Linked DNA regions of Tribolium castaneum. The protein of the gene in region 1 interacts with the protein of each later gene in a biochemical or structural test. Links are inferred from orthologs where the notes say so. Each region holds a gene or a part of one and is shown in the gene's direction. Other genes may lie near its edges.

What was found. The genes of interacting proteins can lie anywhere in the genome.
Region 2: of the proteins of Lar (region 1) and Abl, one has a biochemical effect on the other in vitro, tested with the Drosophila melanogaster proteins (2 studies listed by BioGRID, with this or other methods). The link is inferred for Tribolium castaneum from reciprocal best matches to the Drosophila melanogaster genes Lar and Abl.

Annotation. Positions count from the first base shown.
Region 1 is NC_087394.1:34,996,418-35,007,413, reverse strand, and holds part of Lar (tyrosine-protein phosphatase Lar), read left to right. Parts: intron 1-832; coding exon 833-1,027; intron 1,028-4,754; coding exon 4,755-4,865; intron 4,866-4,917; coding exon 4,918-5,193; intron 5,194-5,253; coding exon 5,254-5,538; intron 5,539-5,960; coding exon 5,961-5,984; intron 5,985-6,143; coding exon 6,144-6,244; intron 6,245-7,516; coding exon 7,517-7,709; intron 7,710-7,816; coding exon 7,817-8,104; intron 8,105-9,536; coding exon 9,537-9,833; intron 9,834-10,996. UniProt on the Drosophila melanogaster protein: Possible cell adhesion receptor. It possesses an intrinsic protein tyrosine phosphatase activity (PTPase). It controls motor axon guidance. In the developing eye, has a role in normal axonal targeting of the R7 photoreceptor, where it negatively regulates bdl.
Region 2 is NC_087394.1:5,576,083-5,587,178, forward strand, and holds the start of Abl (tyrosine-protein kinase Abl), read left to right. Parts: upstream 1-6,207; 5' UTR 6,208-6,506; coding exon 6,507-6,636; intron 6,637-11,096. UniProt on the Drosophila melanogaster protein: Arm and Abl proteins function cooperatively at adherens junctions in both the CNS and epidermis; critical for embryonic epithelial morphogenesis regulating cell shape changes and cell migration.

The DNA of each region.
Region 1 (10,996 bases):
GAGATACCTTTCGAACGTACAGTCAGGCGTGTAAAATGAAATATTTTTTATATACCTACATATGCATATTCTGTCGCAGAGAAATCTCTGTACAAGAAAGCTTTTTTATTTATTAATCATTTTTAAAAAATTTGTCAAAAATGGTTGTTATGGGTTTGACTCAAGATTAAAGACGGATTAATTTTTTAACTATTTTATTTATTATCTAATTTCATTTTAATAATCAGACTTAGACAAACGGAAGGTTTTGAAGCAGTTTTTCCCAGACCTTTGTTATTTTTACGTTTAAAAATAAAATGTAGACCAAAATGATTTCTAAGAAGGCAAAAAATTTGGCATTTCGCCACTATGCTGCCATGTGGTCTAAATTATGAAAAATTGGTTAAATTCAGTGCATTTATAGTGCGTTTGGGCCGGGCCATAAATCCAGGGCCGAACCGAATGAAATATAAAATTTTAGTGTGTTTGGTACCTTCGTACAAGCTTCACGTATCGAATTAGGTCCGTTTCGATTTCGTTGCAAGTTTAATGTTATCGGAACGGACGTATGTACACCGGCTTACATTGACCAGCAAATTCGTGTAAATACCACTACACACGATCGAAGCATTAAATTGTTCGATCTGTGTGGGTAATATCGCACAAGGCCCACCGCTACTAAGCCGGCAATAAATTCCCCCGTAAATCTATAATTTACGCTTTGATTTACGCGCATTCTGAATGCCTATGGAAATTTGTTAATAGATTAAAAGGGATCACGTGGCCGCTTTATTACAGTTTACTTCGTCAAGCCAGAACCTGTCGTTTATTAAACGTCTTCTTTGTTTTGCAGCCGATAAATTGCCGCCGGGCTTCCCCCAAATCACCCAGTCGCCCACCACCAACAAGGTCGTCGAAATTGGGCACAAAGCTGTGCTTTCGTGCGCCGCCACTGGTAATCCGCCGCCCAAGATCACCTGGCTGAAGAACATGCTGCCCATCAACAGCTCCACCAGCCCACGGTACACCATCAGGGACGAAATGCCAGGTAAAAAAACTGAGTTACTTTCCAATCGCTGAAAACCGCTAATTGGGCAAGTTAATCTCGCGGGAAATCAAAACGGTGTCGCACGATTTTAATATGGCGGCTGCTGGCTGGAAGAGGGAAAAACGAAAACGGAGTCATTCGCTTGCAGAGCTTGTCGACGAAAGCTCATCTTTCACTAACTTTCCACCTACAATCTGAAAGCAGCTGCACCCTCTGCATACATGCAGCACAAAAGCTCGCACACTTTTTACACTTTCGAAAGATTCTACCTATAACCCAAATAACTAGAATTTATTTACCATTGTTGGAGGATTCAATCGATAATCGCAACCCAATTGTTATAGTCACGTGGCAAATAGAGTAAATAGACACCAGCGTTGACAGTGCTGCAAGTGACACCATTGGCTCGTTTCACGAGTTGTAATTAATAGACAAAGGCAGGAAATTAAAAATGATACTTATACCAAAAATTATTTTGGTATAAATAATGTTACTTTTGGCCAATTAATATTGTTATTATTTTTATTTTTTAAGTTGATATTTGATTAAAAACGTACTTAAATACTAGCTTAAATAATAACTGCGAGGACAAGGGATGAAAAAAAACAATTTTTAGACTAACAAAAGCGAAGTAATCTCAAAAATGGTTTCCAAAACCAAATTGAAACTCCGATTTTTTAATTAAATTGACACAAATTTCTATTTATTATGGGAGTTTAAAGCTTCATAATTTAAAAAAAAAAAACATGTCAGCAAAAAAATTAAGGCCAAAATGTTATCAAAAGACAGATTGCAAATTTAGTATAAGTCGTGCTTATTATTAGCACAAACTTAATTTTAATTAATTACTTAGTTTAATTCTCACTAAGTTTTTGGCTTATTTTCAGAAGATTCCTGGATTAAATAAATACGTAGGTAATCTAAAAAAAACTTAGACGTTTCGTTTAAGACTTCTTTTCTGTTAGTATCTTTTCTTCTTATCTAAAAAGCGTAAATTGTAACAAAGTGGAAACATGTCTTGATGAGATGAATTTATTCATTAAAACATTAAACATTCTGTATTTCTTTTGTAATAAAATATCAAGTTAAATAAATGCCATCTGTAAACTAAATCACAACTCAAAGAATAACACACAACACCAGAAAGAACGAAAATAACAATAATAACACAAATTCAGAGACAAATCCGAGATTTTAAACAACTTTGCCGAACAGTGCAAGAAATGTTAATCAGTCGTTTTTAAAGACGTTTTAAAAGCCTTGTATAAAATATATCTGCTACAAAATTGATGTTATTTAAGCAGCTTACGTGTTACACATCTCGATTTTCAGTCTCGGTGGACAATATTCAGATCGCGTGCCTAAAACACTTTTTGCAGTTTATTACATAAATATCACATTATTTTAAAATTGGAAAATCAATTAACCCTGCATGAAAATGGGCTTTTTTGCAATTTCTGAACAGACCGAGTGTTTGCTAAACGGTCTCTTTTTTTCGATAATTCGAAATCGCAGTGTATCACTTTGGGTCTTGAGAAATTTTCTTTTTATAAATTTTATATGCAGCGTCTGCTGCGGCGAAACGTAATATAAGCTACGTTTACCCGGCTTGCATATTGATTCAGCCAACCAGGAATAAGGAATATCCGCAAACGAACCACAACAAAAACTCTATTTATCTCCCCGACGTTAAGCTCTGATCTGGCCCAGGAATAATGCTCACACCTCACACAATAACAGCTTTTTATGATTCGACGGGTTTTCTCCCGGTCGGCTATTCACTATAATTACTTATATCCAGCAAGGAAATCCGCCACATCAATAATAATTGTCGCGAACGTGGAAAAAATATGTGCGGTAGAATCATTTCATGCATGGTCGCCGCATCATAATCAATTCTTTGCGGACGATAAATTCAGAATCTACAACCGCCTTGTTAATATCCTATTAGGGGGTATTTAACGGTTTGAAAGCGTTTCGTAACGGGATGCTATCTTGCGAAGGAAGATCACTAAAGCACGTTTCTGGAATTTTAGAAGCTTCTTTGTTAGCTGTTCGTATTTTGTGTGCTCGAACTAATCGAGTGTCCGGTTCACGTGTTTAGTGGAATTCCCCGGACGGATCGTTTTCCCTGGGGAACATTAGTTCTACTGACGGGAGGACTATAGCGAATCATCTCGGCCACTTCACTACCACCTACATTACGCCCACAATGCGAATGCGAATTGCAAAATTTTAAAGCGTCTTTTTATCGTAAAAAATTAAAACGTTACTACTTGAAAAAATAAATCTACTATGTGAGTTCTACCAATGAGATGGCCAATATTTGCAACAGTGAAACTTCTCTAACGCGAATCTCCAAGACGCGGAAAATCTAATTCGAATTAGGAAAAAATATTTCTATCCTTGTACTTTCGTACTGTTTTGACCAAATTACACCGAATGTTGTGCGTAAAACTCCTTGGTTTTGCTAAACGAACCAAAAAATTGTGATTCCAAGATAGATTAAAGGTCGCATTAAGAAATCTTCACTGTAAAAATGACCTAAATTGAGGTACACAGTCAAAATCTTCCAATTTATAGTTTCAGTCATTTTGCCAAATAAGTGTTAAAAAACGTGGTTATTAGTTATTACAACTTCAATATAAATTCTAGAGTTAACTTCCTTTGGCATGATTTGAGTGAGTTAATTTGAATGTATCTACGTGAATATCAGAATATCTTAGCAAGTTCGTACGAATTTTAATGTGATATTTAACCCTAACATTCAGTCTTCACTTCTTGAACTAATTTTTTTCTTAACATAAAATATTGTAGGGTATATATTTTACTTACAGTTCGACCGGAATAGTAATACTTTGATGTAAAGCTCGCCAAAGTTTTATTAACTTTTTTAAAGCTAACGTGTAATTAAAACAAACATTAGAAATAATTTATTTATGTTATAACTTTCCAGTTATGAGTTCCTTAACCAATACTGTAGTTTTATTACTTATTTTTCTGACTACAAGGCTTTATGCCTGTCTTATTTTTTCATAATTGCTGATTGTTATTTTATTCTGAGTCTCCAATTAAATACTGATATGCCATTAATAACAATAACAACAGCCGTTTTAAATAATTTTAACAGCCCTGACTACGCACGTCGCTATATATTCGAAAGACAATTTGCACCAAATTCGTCATTCTAATTATGAATAATTTTGTCCCAAATAATCTCTTGACATTACAAAAACTTCCATCAAAACAAAATAATAATAAAACTTGAGCTAATCTTTAGAAAGAATCACATCTTAGAGTTTTTTATAATTCTAGAGATGTTTTTAATTTAGCAATATCTCTACTCCTATGACATTTTTTATAGTTTCCTTTCATCTTTTGGACAATAATTCTATTAGTTGGGCATTTTACTTATTTTTTAACGAGAATAAATTACCTCTAGTTAAAAAAAATGGTTACATTTATGCAAAAATATTTTTTGGCTTGTCTCTGGTTTTAAAACTTTCCTTATTTTAAAAGATTTTTCTTAGATCTAGCAGAGAAAAGTGTTTCTACGAAGAAAAAAATTTAAATTACTAGAAGCTGAAGATTGTAATTTTACAGTCATTTACACCTTTCTGTGGAGTGACTAAAATTATTTCAATATTTTATGGGTTACTGAAATTGACTTTTTTAGATTATGCAATTTTTATTTAGAAACGTGAATGGTAGATATAATTTTTTTCAGGCACCCTCCAAATTAGAGATAGCGAAGAAAAAGACCAAGGCAAGTACGAGTGCATGGCGGAAAACGCGATCGGTACCGACTACTCCAAGTCAGCTCAACTCTACGTCAAAGGTTGAATTGGTTAGATAATAAAATAGTTGTTTTGTAAAATTTGCTTTCGTAGTGCGTCGTGTTTCTCCCCAATTTTCGATACCTCCAGCGCCGCTGAGTGAAGTGATGTTGGGTGCTAATCTGAACTTGACTTGTGTGGCAGTGGGTTCGCCGATGCCTTTCGTCAAGTGGCGTAAAGGACTCACTCAGGACCTAACTCCTGAAGACAAGTTACCCATTGGGAAGAACACTTTGCAACTAACTAATATTCAAGAGTCTGCTAATTATACTTGTATAGCCGCTAGCGTGTTGGGCGTTATCGATGCTGTTGCTCAGGTCAAAGTACAATGTGAGTAGTAATCCGTCCAAGTTTGAGACTCTGTTGACTATTGATTTGGCGCGAATTTAGCATTACCGGGACCACCTATCAATGTTCGAGCGTCAGAAATCACAGCGACTTCCGTTCGGCTGACTTGGTCCTACAACGGACCGGAGGATCTTCAGTATTACGTCATTCAATTTAAGCCAAAATATGCCAATCAAGCCTTCAGCGAAATATCAGGAATCATTACCATGTATTATACGATTAGAAGCCTTAGTCCCTACACCGAATACGAAATGTACGTCATTGCCGTCAACAATATTGGGAGAGGGCCTCCGAGCGCACCGGAGTTTGTTACCACAGGAGAAACAGGTAATTTCCTCCGGATTCATTAAATTCCGACTGTATTGCAACCACTTGTTCCGCTTCTGTCACTCCACAAACGAACGGCGGTGGCAGAAGCGAAGCAACGGTTTGATTACTGATCTAAAAGAATGGGACCTTTTCCATCCATCACGCGACATGATGATGACAGTAAAGTGTCTTAATCCACCCATAAATTTCGTTTTCTTTCACCCTACTGTTTATCATTTTCATGCAAACTACCCATTTTTCATATGGATTTTGTGCCTATGCCTAATGTAAGTTTTTTTCAGATTTTTGTGTGCATTTTTTACACGACTAGAGTAGTTTTTCACTCACGCCTTTTGGTACTCTCTAGCAATTAGAATTTTGATAAATTTCTTCAAACGCGTCACTATTGGCCACTTTAATTGTTCTTTTTTCTGTTTTAGCTGAAACGTCTTTTGGAGGTGCCAGTAAGTTAAATGTACACAATAAATAATAAGTGGCGTCATTTGTGTAACAGACCTTTCTCATTTTTGTTGTTTTTTTCGGTCGAATCCCTTTTTATTTTACTTTTATGAATGCATATTTCCAACACATTTATTCCGCGATCTGAGTCAACTCCATTTCAGAACCCGGATCGTCACCACGAAACGTGCAAGTCCGACCACTGAGTTCCAGTACCATGGTCATTCAATGGGACGAACCCGAAACGGCAAACGGACAAGTTACCGTAAGTTTTTTACATTGCATTTTTTCCCGAAATTGAAACAATTAAAAAATTGGAATTAACCAGTTTCCAAGTGTATTATGGTTGTTTAGAGGAAATAAATTACTCAGAGACAGTCCACTATATTTCATTGTTGTTAAATTTCCAAAATTATCTTTATTATCATATTCAGGACTAGATGAAAATTTTTTTCTATTTTTTTGTGAAAGTTTTATGCCCGCTATTGAAAAGGACTTTAATAAAATGGGGTAAAATATTTGCCAAAATTCGTTGCATGTTTTTTAAGACATACTGACCTGATAAATATTTAAAAAAATATTTGGTTGAAACTTTTAACTAGCTTTTTGCAACTTTTGCAAGTGTTGAAATTGACACCGATTTTTTTTTCTTAATTTTTTATACGTGTCTCCTAATTGTACTTTTTTCGTAATTTTTCATAATTTTGATGTAAATTCAACTTCCCATTGCTTACTTCAATGTTGCCAAAATAGACGCACTAAAAAGTCTTTGAATGATCGCGTTATCTAGTGAAAAACTACATTTGAAAGTTAATCTCCAGTATATTTTTATTTATGCAGAATATTTGAGTTAGTTTTCCTAATAATAATACCTCGAATAATAATAATACTTCGAAACGATAGAAACTCTTAAGTTACTAATACAAATTATTCACTTTTGAGAAAAATCATCCTTTTGGTACATAATAGCTCGACTTTTCGTATTTTTATAAAACTTTTTTTCGTTTTTTTTTTTTTGTTTCTTTTGATAAAACTGTTATGGATCTATCTTTTCTATACTTATACAGTTTTTCTCTGTGTCTATCATAAAGTTAAAAATGTCCGTTCATTTTCAATTTTAAAACGTTATGTAACCACTTTTTGTATAGTAAGCAATTGAAAAATTTTTTTTTTCAGTTTTTCAGTTCGAAATTTTTTTCAATTGTAGTATTGCCAGCAATGCTCATGGTATTAACAAGAATACAATAGTAATATTGCTTTCGTTTTTCACTTTTAAAGCACGAATTTATCAGCTTTTCAAGTGTTCTATTATTGTTTTCGCGAAACAACGGAATCGTAACTTTTGTACTTTGTTTACAACAATTCACATTTATTTCAGGGACTGCTTAAATAGCTGAAAATATATTCTAAAATCTGATAGAAGTTTGAATGTGGTTACTTGTGACCGTTCTTATGAGTTGAGTTGTTTCAACTCAATAACGTGTAATACTTTGTCCAACGGCTTTATTAACCCACATTTCCTCTTTGTCATCACTAGGGATACAAAGTATACTACACAACCAACTCCCAACTCCCGATGGCCCAATGGGAATCCCAAGTCGTCGACAACAATCAACTAACAACAATCAGCGAACTAACTCCTCACACTATCTACACCATCCGTGTCCAGGCCTTCACTTCAGTAGGTCCTGGCCCGCTCAGTGCCCCCGTCCACGTAAAAACGCAACAAGGTGCGACCATAATTGTTTATAATCATATTTTTGATAACAAAGATTTAAAAATAAAAACAAAAAAATTGAATTTAGATTTTTTTTTACTTATGGGTTGGTCTGTTTAGGCGTCCCAAGCCAACCGAGCAACCTGATGGCGTCGGATATCGGCGAGACCTCCGTCACCCTACAGTGGAGCAAACCGACGCATTCCGGGGAAAACATCGTCAATTACGAGCTCTACTGGAATGACACGTACGCCAAAGAGAAACACCACCGTCGCATACCTATCACCGAATCCTACACATTGACGGGACTTTATCCCAACACTCTGTATTACGTGTGGTTGGCGGCGAGATCGCAACGTGGGGAAGGCGCCACCACACCCCCGATACCAGTCAGAACGAAACAGTACGGTAAGAGAATCCGGTCAGGGGGCGGTTTTTGTGAGTCAAGGGTGGTGATTTTTTGATTTTTGGAGTATTTTTGCGTTGCAACACAGCGTTTGCAATATAAGAACACATGTAGTTTTTGGCAGGGGACGGGGGGCGATTTTGCTGCAATTTGCGCGTTCTAGTCGTGTTGGAAGTACGATGACTTAAGAGCCACGATCACAACTTTTTCAACTGCACCAAGTTTTGACCGAATTTGCACCATTGGTGCAAACGAAAACGGACAAAAACGTTGTTTCGCATTACATCTGAACGAATTTTAAGTATTGGTGTTTTGAAAGCCGCTCCTAAAGAACTACTCAGTTTGTTGAGAGATCAAGTATCGCCCTTGGATCTGAGGTGCTTGTGAATTAGGAAAAAAAAATTCCAAAGTTTCTGTATAAAAAGAGTTTCTTCTTTATTTAGAGTTAAGAAAAAAGTCACGAGGGATTTTGCCATTTTGTATTGAAATTTAGAAATCTCTAAAAACTTTTGTACGATTTGTATAGGGTTTAAAAGTTTTGAAAAAATCACACTTTCTGGAACTCATCCGCATTCCGCTATCATCGCTTGCTTGTAATTTATACAAAAGTTGAAATTTTAATTAATTTTTGCTATTCTGGGAAACGCATTAAAAAAACTATTGTTGGGGCTGTTATAAAAACGTAAATCCGTCTCTTTTCATATTTTATTGTACGATAACGAATTCTCCATAACAGGTATAGTGTGCAGACGAGAGAACATCAAAACTTTATATCGCACGACGAGGTTTATAAGGATGGCTTGTTAAAACACAATGAAATATTTTTAGGCGTACATTTGCGGTCTAGAAACTCGTGTTGTAAATTTGGCCAAAATGTGAAAATAATACGTCTGGCAGTTTAAAAAGTTGTGCTTGTGGTGTCTTTTGCTGTCGGCGACGGCACGACCTGAACTCGTCGATTCAGACTTGAGACTAATGTTGCATTGTTTTAAAAATGCGATTGATCGGAACTTACGTTCCAGAAGTGTGTAAGTTTACTAAAACTATTTGAATTAATGCCGTTGTGGATGCGTGATGGATGAGTGTTTTATTTTTCTTGTGGAATTGCATTTGCATGCCAGTAACTAGTCGTCAGTGGATATTAATTTGTTAATGAGCACTGCACAAAGTAATGCTATGCCGTTTTTTTAATGAACTGTGTGCAATTGAGCACCTTTCACTTGTTTTATTTGTTTTTCATTTGTTTTTTGGTATTGTTTTACCGTTTCATTTGACGTGTATATCTCTCTACCAGGTAGTGAAAATTTTTATTTTAATATCCACTTGTTGTCATTTTTCGTGAGTTTTGATTAAGAGAGTCATATTCATATTGAGTAACAGTAAAAACTAGGCTATAAGCTTTTGGCTTAAGTTAACACGCTAACGCCACCGTAGTACCGGGCGCTCCGCCCAGCAACGTTACCGGTGAGGCGGTAAGTCCGACTGCCATCCGAGTCACCTGGGAGCCGCCGCTTGCTAACCGCAGTCATGGAAACATTATATACTACAAGCTGCAGTATGTCGAAGCAGATAGATCTGATAGCGAAGCTATAGAAGTTAAAATGAACGCTACTAGTTTTGTGCTTGACGAACTTAAAAGATGGACCACTTACCGAATCTGGGTCCTGGCTGGCACCTCAGTCGGGGACGGACCCAGCTCATTCCCCATCACCGTGCGAACCCATGAAGATGGTACGTTCTGTTTTTGATTCCATCTAACTATGATAAGAACGGTGATGTTTAAACTAAGATGTGGGGCGACGAGGACGGGGCGCCTTAGCGATCCGGACTCGTCCCCGATTATAATAAATGTGTTACCACAGTTGACAGCTTACGAAAGGAGTTTGTGTAAAACAATAAACATGTTGTGATTCGAGAACAGCGACGGTCTTGTCTACAGTGTAGTCAACGAATTCGGCGCCACCGCACAAACTTATTCAATTTTTCAGAACGTTATGTTTTTGTGCGGTGGCGCTCGAGTCTGCGACGCCTTGCTCCCTACACCTCATCAAATTTTCCCTCTTTATTTGCGATTTTCGTTATGATTTGCAGGGGACGTTCCGTCCGCCTGGCCTTCTAGTTGTAGTTTTTGATGAGATTTTTGACATATCCGTTGTGATATGTGTGACTTAACCATTTTTTAACCATTGCAGCCCGCCCAGGAAGGATTTTTTGAAGCTGGTTTTGTGAATTTTTGTGATTTTTTGCAGCTGTTATTTTTGAGACCTCACGTGAACCTCATAGTGTAGTGAACTATAAACAAAATTAATTTTTAATGTTTTTTCTTCTGTCTACAAAAGCGTTTGCAGGAGCTGAATTAAAGAGGTTTTTCCGACGAATTTTTTCAATAACTGTTTTTTCGGTATTTCTAAAAATTTCTAGTTAATTGTGTTTATTTATTGTTTTGTTCGATTTTTCGTTCCTTGTTGTTATTGTTTTAGCTACTCACGTTCACATGTAATGATTGCTTATTGATTTTCATTCGCACAGAGTTGCATTGCAATGGCACATTTTTTGAGTCACAATCGGCACTCTTTATTTTTATATAATTATGAGTATTAATTTTTTTAGTTGATTTCGTGCACCGTTTTCGTAATTTAGTAACACACCACCTAGCATGCTGGTGACAGTCCCTCAACCTCCCGTTAATTCCTTCGATTCCTTCAGCTCCTGATCCCTTGTCTATCGCTAGGCAGCACCTCACTCTCACAAGTAGGTGACATGCGCACTTTAATATGGCACATTTATATCACATTTCACTGTGTGTAAACTACACTTGCACCATTTTTTGTGTGTGATTGTATGACTGAGAACTAATACTGATGCTAAAAGGAAAAGTAACCGATTAACGCCAC
Region 2 (11,096 bases), about 29 Mb from region 1:
ATATTTAAAATTTTTGAAAATTTTTGGATTTGCACCTATCACTTAAAAAATCAGTAACTTTTTTATTTTTAGAGATTTCGAAATCAGATTTGGAGAATTAAAAGAGAAAGCCTATATCTGTTTTCCAGTGTCAACGTAACGTCAAGTGTAATGTCAATATGACTAATATAAATTTGTCAAAAATAAAAATACGATCACTATGTTGAATTAATTGAAATCAAATATGTTACTATCCACAAAATCTATGAAATGTAACGTTAGTTGCTTCAAGAATTTTTTCATGCTCATTATTACTCGTGGACCATCCTGTATAATTGCAATAATTCACCTAAAACGCAAATACATTCAGTTCAAAAGTCGGCGAATTAGCTCGAGAAAACATTTTCTTCCACGTTTTTCAATTTTTTCACATTTTTGACCGAAAATAGACATAATTTCTTCAAAAATCACAAAATATGTGTATTTTCTAGTCAAAAATAGTGGACGTGCGCAAATCCTACTGGATTCGCAGTGGCCATGATTTTTATTAACAATGTTTTTCTAGCCTTTACTAAACAAACTCAGTTAACTAAAAATTTTTAGATATAAATTAATATTTTCGTTTAATTTTTTTATAATTTAAGAAAAAATTTATCTAAGAATTCAACGCTAAAGTTTGAAGTTATGTTTCACCTTTACGTTCTTCTCTCTTTTTCACTCTTTTTCTACTTTGATTAGGATGCTCTTACGTTTACAATTTGGTGTCTTTACGTACTTTTATCTTTTGCCGCATTATTTTCTTATTTCTGTCAGTTTTATGCTCCGCTTTACGTTTATACGTCTATGTGTTCTCTCAATCACTTATTTTTGTTTACGTGTTGTTTCACTTACCTTTTCTACACTTTTTTTCATAGAAAAATTGTTACCCTGATCCGGATTCGAACCCCGACCTCCCCCGTCGTAAGTGGCGCTTATACCACTGGGCCACGAGGCCCCAGGTACTGACCGTCTTTTGCAAATATTTTAACACAAACTTTTTAAATAAATCAACATTACAAACTATATAATTGCAATAATTCACCTAAAACGCAAATACATTCAGTTCAAAAGTCGGCGAATTAGCTCGAGAAAACATTTTCTTCCACTTTTTTTCAATTTAATTCTCTATTTTTTCACCGGATTGCACCAAAAGATACCGAGCGTATAAGAGGATTCTACAATTTTAAAATTGTTTGTACCTTTTTTGTGACTTTCATCACGTTTTTGACCGAAAATGGACATGATTTCTCAAAAAATCACCAAATTTGTGTATTTTCTAGTTAAAAATAGTGGACGTGCGCAAATCCTATTGGATTCGCAGTGGCCATGATTTTTATTAACAATGTTTTTCGGGACTTTACTAAACAAACTCAGTTAACTAAAAATTTTTAGACATAAATAAAATATTTTAGTTTATTTTTTTTTATAATTTAAGAAGTAAGTCATCTAAGGATTCAACGCTAAAGTTTGAAGTTATGTTTCACCTTTACGTTCATCTCTTTTTCTCTCAAAACAAAAGGTATTTTCCCTTTATTAGGATGTGGTCTTACGTTTACAATTTTGCGCCTTTACGTACTTTTACCGCATTATTTTCTTATTTCTGTCAGTTTTATGCTCCGCTTTACGTTTATACGTCTATGTGTTCTCTCAATCACTTATTTTTGTTTACGTGTTGTTTCACTTACCTTTTCTACACTTTTTTTCATAGAAAAATTGTTACCCTGATCCGGGTTCGAACCCCGACCTCCCCCGTCGTAAGTGGCGCTTATACAACTGGGCCACGAGGCCCCAGGTACTGACCGTCTTTTGCAAATATTTTAACACAAACTTTTTAAATAAATCAACATTACAAACTATACAGAGTGGTCTACGAGTAATAATGAGCCTAAAAATTTTTTGAAGCATCCAACATTATATTTCGTAATTAACGTGAAAACAAAGAAAATGTACAGGCACTTTATGACAAAGAATGTAAAAATGTTATATATAGTGAGCGATTTTTTTTACTAATTGGTTTACTTGTAATAACATAAAGACTAGTGCAGTTTTAAAGGGTGAAGGCCTTATTTCTCTAGTAGAATTTCTCTTTGTTGGAGTGAAAATAATAGGTATCCTGTATTATTTGTTTTTTATTTTCGTGTTGCTTATATCTCGGTTTATATCTAATACGTTGTTTGAATAGTTTCTATATCTCTGGATCCAGATTCAGCTCGAGTAGTTTAATTACAGTAATATGCAGCGTTGTGTTTACAATAATTTGCTGCACAGCATTGTATCTTGCATTGTTATTAAATAAAATCGTCGTAATAAAGACCCGGAAGACAGTAAGTTGCAACAAATCACAAAATACTTCTGTTCTTAACTGTTTATTTTAGTTTAGTTTTTGATTGTTAAGTACTTTAAATTGCAAGAGTGAAGTACAATAATCAACGAGGGAAGAAAGAAACCAAGTTTATAGTGAGAATAGCCCCTAAAATATTTTCGTATTAATTGCGTTCAAGATTTGCTTCTTCAAAAGTTCTCTAGACCACGAAATTGATTTAAAAACTGTATTGAGCAAAAAATATTAAGTAATTATTATAACACCACCTAACAACGATTTATGTAATAAATTTGAGAGAAAGGTGTACACGCTATTCCCTAGCTTTTCCCGATTTTTTAACTTTTTGTAACACAATTACGAGAATAAATATTCTTGTTTTATTTTTTATAGCATGAAACAATTATTATGTATAAATTTTATGAAAAAAAAGACAGGATTGACATCCTCATTTCTATGTACACAACTCGTTTAAATTAAAGTGAAATAAGTTTTTGCAGACTTATCATTAAATAAGTAATTTAATTATATAAAAATATTGAATTCCTATTGCATTTTCAGTAACTACTTCACCTTCTGAACACGTATGTTGCGTTGTAGTTGACTTTTGACTAAAACTTCAAAAAGCCTTTTACGTTTTGACTATGATTTTAGACTTATAAGCAGATCCAAGTTAAGAAAGTTGTCAGATTTGCTGCTATTATCACAAAAAGGTCTGATTAAGTCTTTAGGTAGAAAAAATGGAGATTTTTTGTATATTATTATTTACCTAGAAAATCAAAATGCAAAGACAGAGAAAGAGGGGAATGAAAAAACATTAGAAACAAAAGAAAAGGGTATAATTGTTTAAAAAAATTAAAATAGGGGAAAAGAAAACTCTACAAAAAAATTAAGACGATTTAAAAAAATACTTAAAAAAGTGGAAAGCAAGTTACTGCACAAAATAATACTAGGAGCAAACAAGAAAGGAAATAATAATGGTAGAAGTAATCAAGTAAGTACTCAAGAGGGGTATACCCAAAAATAAATGAGGAATATAATAGGAAGATTGAAGGAAGAAAAGGCGCAGGAAAAAAAAGTTTGGAAAAAAAGATTTCCAACAGAATTAAGATTAATATACATAATAATAAGTACGAAACATAAAAAAGAAAAAAAAACACGGAAAAAATCATTATACATAAAGCGATAGGAAAAAGCAAAAGAAAGGGAACTGAAAGATCATCAAGTGACGCTGGAAAGTTAGATATAAAAAATAATAATTTGAAAATGATGAAAAACCATCTGGATCATAATACTCCATGAAAAAACAAAACCAAAAAAAAATAAAAAAGAAATATAGACGAAAGAAACAAGTAAAGAATTAAACAAAATAAAAAACGAAAAATATAAATAGGTCTACATGTAAAACATAAACAAACCCTTTGAGAAATTAGTTAATTCTAAAAATGAGAAGTATATGAAGTATTTGGAATAATCACAATTAGTTGGGCCTACTGTTAAGTCATATTACATACATCTTATTTCTTTCCATTAAAATTGGTTACGATTTTAACTGTTGTTAAAGAAAATACGTGCCTTATTTCTAAATTAATACTAGTATTAATGTACTAGATCCTAATGTGCGATCCTAAACTTAAAACTAAAATTAATGTAATACACCAGGCAACTGGTTATACACGTGTGTTTAAAAACTGTATAAAGCCGGTTTAAATTATAAAGCACGTTTCACACAATTTTAGGAGAACTGCGCGTTCGGTATGCAACCAACAATACACATTCTGCTATTTGTGTTAGGGCCGCTTTACAACCGTCCGATAACTTTATCCAGGGGATAAATTTTGAAAAATGCGTTAAAATACATGCACTAATGCAGTATTATTGTTTCATTTTAAAGGCAGAAAACCGAAGGAAATAGATAATACTTGTCCAAGACAGAGAAATTTTAAAATTTGATCGCTAAGATCAAGTAATAATGAATTATGTTGCACCAATAATTGGAAAGACAGCATAAAGTTGATTATTTACATTTTAATCAGTAAATCGACAATGAAGGACAATTGTAAATTTTTTTACTCTTAACTTCCGATTTGTTTAGCTCCTTGGATCAAACTCCCAAAAGACGGATGTCAATTTTGAGACACCAATTTTTCTACTGCTTTTTGCTATGATTTTGAACTGTGTATGGTATTATTTAAAATGTTAAAAGTGCAGAAAAAAGGCAACGGCACGCGGTGTTCCTAAGCGGTCACCCATCCAAGTACTAACCGCGCCCGATGCTGCTTGACTTCGGTGATCAGACGAGAACTGGTATTCGGAAATAAAATTAACTAGACGCCCTCTGGTGATGACTTTTGAACTATGTCGAAAACAGTAAAGAAATTTTCGTAATGCCACATTTAACTGACATTTAATGAATTGTTCAACAATTTTGCGTGTATAGTGTTAATTACTTACAATAGAAAGAATTACTTTAAAAGTACGTGGTGGTAAATACTAGCGTTGACTTTGGTTCTGTAGTTTTTCGTGGTATAAAGTGTTTATTGTTGGAACTTGAAAGTGGATAAAAAGTGAAAAATATTTAAATTTTGATTACAAAGTGTTATCAAACAGTTGTCTAATTAAAGATTATAAGTAATGGATCACAGCGAACACAAAGTTTGGCTCAAGAAACCAATAAATTAGTGAAGTGTTATGAATTTTAGGTTAGAATTTTCCACTGAAAAAATCATGAAATGCTGCGGTAAATCTACAAAACGACAATAAAGATTAACAACTGCTGATACATTTAAACGTAAATTATGCCAAAAGGTAGGCTTTTCAATGTCTTTGTAATAATTTTCCAATAAAGAAAGTGAACCAAACAGTCATTCGTTATTCGTGTTTTCCTCGTCATCTCTCATTTGTCAACATAAGTTTCTTGCATCAAAGATGCAATAATCATTCCGCATAGGCAATGTAATAATTGTGAAGCCTCAAAATTCGTACAACGCTCAAAATATCCGAATAAACATTTTCACGCCATTTATGGTTACTGTTTTCGACCTAGCTCAGTGGCGCCCCCAACGGTAATTTTATTTCCGAATATTCAGCATGGTATGGCCGTTGCCTAACAATTTTGTCATTTCCAAAGGAGATTAACAAGGAATTCCTAATCATATTAAGGACGTATTACATTCATGCACATTTTACGAACTATTTAAATCACTTTACAAACGATTTTAACGGTCTTTAATGAGCTATGTTAATGAGTTAATGATATTTGAGTCCAGAAAATACTACTTTCCAGACTACACATTTACTGTACCGATGATTGAGAAATTAAACTAACTTTTAGTTAAATACCTTTGTTTAAAAAATAATTAGCCACATACCTTGACTTTTTAAGAAACACTTTAACAACACTGACAGCACAAAATTAAAAACTTAATTTCAAATGTTACTTGATTTTATGGTGGATGCGTTAAAAGTCCGACTGTGCAACAGTTCGAAATAAATTTATTTTATTATTGTCTATTTAATATTTTTCAGAATACAACAATGATCTCTTCTTAGTTAGATTTACCAAAAGTTTTTTGTTTGTTCTAATTAGCAAATATTATTTAAATACTATTTAATGCAAAAACACGTCGCGGCATTAATTCGAATTTACAACAGTTAGAATGACTATGTGTATAAGTAGTTGCATATCAATTCTAGAAGGGTACCCAATTTTAGCAATTTTAATAACAAAACAATCGATGTTTAAACGAAATATCAAATTTTAAGTGCCCATAATGCACTTTTATCGCCTTCAAGCACAATAATACATAAAGTTAGATAAAATATGTATAATGTGTTGCCTACCCGGCCGTTCATTGATAGGAATTCTCGCTATCTATGGCTGAATTTCTTAAATATGGCGGAGTAGACGTATGGTGCGATTGATCTATCCCGACTAATCGTTAAAACGACGGTTTTCTCGCGTCCGTAAAATGCCAAATAACTGAGACCGAAGCTGTTGCGGTTCTTGGAGTGTCGTGCGTGAGTATTATGTAGTTGTGTTGTGGGGTTTTCGAATCCGCCACCCTTTTGAGTGCGGTGTGCGAGTGTGTGCATCTTTCTTCCTATGTGTGTGTGCATACGTCAGAGGGGGATTAAGTGACAATCCGGGAGGGTATGTTTGCAAGCCATGGGCGCCCAAAACACCAAGGAACGACCAGTGATCGGCACCCACCACTCGATTAGAACGGCCAGAAGTAGACCCCGAGCAACGAAAGATGGACGGCAGATTGTCTCAAATATTTTCACCGAACACAGCGGTATGAATGATTCATCCAATTTCTTGTTATTATTGTTATTAGTCTAGTAGGCACGTGTTAATCGATTGGCGATTGTTTCGATCGATCTGTCAAAATTCCACGGAAGTCGCGATCGGTTCGCTTTGACAGGTTGTTGTGTTTTTTGTGGGGTTGTTCCGGTCAGGACCGGATTACGGTTGAAAAAGCCCCGAAGCGGATCTAGAAGGCGCCCCCTACTAGTCTTCACTCCAATTTTACATATTATAATTTATATTTGTTGTTTTTTACACGGTTTTTAACAATAAATATTTATGTGTTACGGCACTAAAGTCTTATTTTTCGTTACAAATGACTTTGGGTTTAATCGCCAAGGCGACAGAGGCAAATAAAATGAAGAATGACTGTCACAATTGACAGTTTACTCCAATGTTGTCACATGTCGCAAAAACCACAAAATAACTGAGAAAACCACAAAACAGGAAAAATATTTGTAATTTATTGACAAGATTCACGTTTCGTCGTTATCCCATGTTTACATTAAAACAACAATTTGATACACAAAACCTGGAAAAAATATTTTAGTTAAAATGCTAAGAAAGTTTAAATTAATTAGTAAGTACATAAATAAAAAACAAATTTTAATTTCAGGTTCTATGGTTTTCTTACTTTTTTAAGAGTAATGTATTGTTGAATATTTCTCAAAATATTAGTGACAAATTATGGACATAAGTAGTTTTTCGAGTGCCATTTCTATATCTATGACATATCTGTCATGGTGAAAGTACAAATAACTGTTGGAAATTGGTGAAATTCTTTGTTATTTTGTGAAGTTTGCAGAATTTTTACAATAGTGTTCCGTTGTGACAGAGAAGTCTATTTTACAATTTGAAATAATGGAAATCGACAATGACGTATCGCAAATTATATTTTTGGAAAATTATTATTTCGAGCTTAGTGCCACAAAAGATTTCGGACAAATGTTAAATAAAACGGAAAATAATAATATACAGAGTGAGTTTTAAAGTAACGCATAAAATTCATATTCTTGTTATTATAATTTTTCAAAATAAGTATAAAACAATCGCCCTTATAAATTAAGGCAAAATAAAAAAGATTAAGCTATTATCATGTTTTTTTTTATTTTTTTCTTTGTTTTCTTCTTTTTATGATTCTTTTAAATATTTATTTCTTCACTTTTTCATTCATACTATAAAGATAGGAGAGTATACCACCAAAACAGTAAACAAAAATATTGGTTGCCATTAAAAAAATTAAAAATGCCATTATTCAGAAGTGACGTCATGTTACCATGGTGCCAAAATGTAACATTTACAAATATAAAATCGACCTGTTCGAGCATTTTTTTGAAAAAAGATAACAAAAATACGAAGTTTATGACTTAATTTAAACCCACCCTATGTTTTTTGACTTGTGCTGGAGCAAGTTTTGCTATTTTTCAGCAAGAAATCGTCAAAAATCAACTATTTTTCAAAAAAATGGAACTAAAATCGTAGTTTTTGGAGTCAAAATGAAGTGATTTCAGGTTTTCTACAGCGAATTTCGCCATTTTTGAGCAAGTAGTCGCTGAAAATCAACTGATTTCTTAAAAATTGTCGTTTTCAGCCAGTATAAGGCGATTTCATTGAGCAAGACTAGAAAATATAAGCTTATAAAATAACGTAAAGTATTCTAGGATAACTGGTTTTTAAAACACTTGATCTATTTCGAGCACTCCGGCTACGCCGTCGTGCGCGAAAAACCGATCGTTTTAAAGACCTGAATATCCACTTGTACTTTAATATACTATTCTATCACGACTAGATTTTGAGTTATATTTGTGTTATAATAAACTATCTTGAATCTTGAATACATAGAATAACATAGTACTTTTTACATATGTTTTTTGAGTGGGTAATTAACAGGTTTAGTAGTTGCTGTCAGACAAAAATTAAGTTTTACACAAGAGAAAGGTAAAATATAAACAAGAGAAATAAATGAATTGTCATTTTTAATTTATTACAAAACGATTTTTTATTTGTTGTGTTTCTTTTTGTTTGTTAAATGCGCCCCTAGGCTAGACCTAGACATCGTGTTTTGTAATCCGGCCCTGGTTCCGGTGGTTCAAAGGCCGGAGCGAGCAAGCGACGACGAGTTCATTCATGTCGATTTTGCCTCTCTGTCCTCGATTCGGGACTGTTTTGTCCCCTGCTGAGTTTCCCCTAAGCTAGCCAGCCTAGCCTTCTCGTCGTCTCGTCTCGATTTCTAATAAATAAAGCCAATTCTCTTTCTCCACTTTCTTATTGCAATTAGGAAAATTACGGTTTTAGGGGGTAGAGAGGGGGACGAAAGTTTGTTAATTGCTCGAAATTGTTTCACTGGTTTGACGGCCAATTGGTTTAATCGAGCGAAAGGTCGCACCGAATAATGGTTATTGCGACTTGTTTGCAACCAAAACTAACAAATTTTCTAATATTTACAACCCTGAACAATAAACGTGCTTTAATTAATGATATAATAATAACTTCTTTATCTTTTTAGTAATAATAAAATTACAAAATGAAATTAAAAATAAAGGTTTTTTCTTTGTTATTGCTTTATTTTATGAAGGGCGATTATTTTTTTAATTTTTTTAAAGAATTAACATGAAAACACTTATTACGATATCTAAAGACAAAAAAAATAAAAAAATCATTTCTTATAAAATAATGCCAGAATCTTTTGTAAAATTATCCATAACTTTTTTATTTTGTTTTATTTTTTTTTGAATTTTTTACATTTGCTATAAAGATATAAAACTACTGTCAAAAACCCTTAAACAAAAATTTCGGTTGCTTTTAGAAAAAATAAAAATAAAAAAGTACCTTATTTCTTAAAAACTAGCGACGTCAAAAATTTTGAAATACAAATGCCAAAGTGTAATATTTAGACCTGTTCGAAGATTTTTTTTGAAAAAAAAGCCATAGCAAGTATAAGAATTTTATGCGTTATTTTAATACTCTGTATAACTTGTATCATAATGTTTGAAATACAGAGCGAAATAAAAAATAGAACATGAATTTTCCATCATTTTTTTTAATGTGGGGTATATTCTGTTTCAAATCTTCAGAAGGTAGGCAGATTGTAGGTAAGTAAATTTCAGATTTATATTGCCTGTGTAAGAAAAGTTCTACACTATGCCTTCTAGAAGAGAAAAAAAAGAAAAATGACTTTTCTTTTATGCTAAACGAAATTAATTCTATTTCTCAAATCTTTGCATTTGCATTTTTAGGCTCTGTAATAGAAAAAATAAATATGTTATACAGGGTGAATTCACAGAAATCAGCGTCTTACTATTAATTTTTTTATTTCTTCTTCAGAATTTTTCCATAATTTTTTTACCTTTCTTTAAAATACAGGCTGATTCTTTTACAGCACACATTAGAAACTTTTTAACATCAAATACAGCCAGAGCCTTAAGATTTTGTATACGATTCAAATCAACTATTCTGAGTTTAACAAAATCATCTTTCAAATGGCTGAACTTCCGGAACAATGTGAAATTGGCTTTCTAACCCTGTACAATAAATGAATACTTTTTTTGCATTTGATAACTAAAGGTTTAAAGGATCTTCTAGAATTATCTGAATTGTCAACTGTTAAATTGCATGGCTACTATGATTTTTTGAAAATGAGGATCAAAATATGATTGTAACAGTTTTTTCAAATGGAACTAGCCTGTACTAGCCTTGAGTTTTGACAGTTGACAATTTTGAAAATTCTAGAAGGCTCTTCGAACCTTCATTTATCGAATGCAGTAAAAAATACTCGGTTATTGTAAAAGGTTTAAGGGTTGTGATATTTTAAATAAACCTAAGCAAATGAAAATTTTAACAAAAAAAGTGACATATGTCGAAAACTATGACAGATAAGTACCAACAACTTGGGTTAATTTGACTCAGTTTGAGAAGGTGAATACCAAGATCCAATCAAAATATGTGGTTACTATTTAAAATTCCAAAGTTGAAGCGTTAACTGTATTAGAAGTTAAAAAGTTTCTAATGAAACTTATTCTACAAGAATAACCCTGTATATTCGATTCCAATTTTTTTATTTTATTTTTAGTTCTATTATATTTATTTTTTTATTTTTAATTCCAGTTCTTTATTTTTGTAGTGCTATTGGTTTTCTATATTTCGATTTTTGATTTATTTATTTAAATTTTAGTGTCTTTTACGCGTTGTCCACCGCTCGCCTAATACTTGTCCTCCTGTCTCGTCTATTTATTTTGATTAAAACTCCATTGTGCGCGCACAAAAGCTGCATAAAACAGGATGAAAATCATCTTGTTTATATTTTATTGTGTTCGTCACCCGAGTCAGCAGAAGACGAACAAATTGAACAACGTCTGGATCGATTACATCCGACTTTGAAACGGCACCGACGTTATGTGAAAGGTGGGCGAAAATTACCATAAAACAAAATTTCCTTCTATTGTTGGCTTG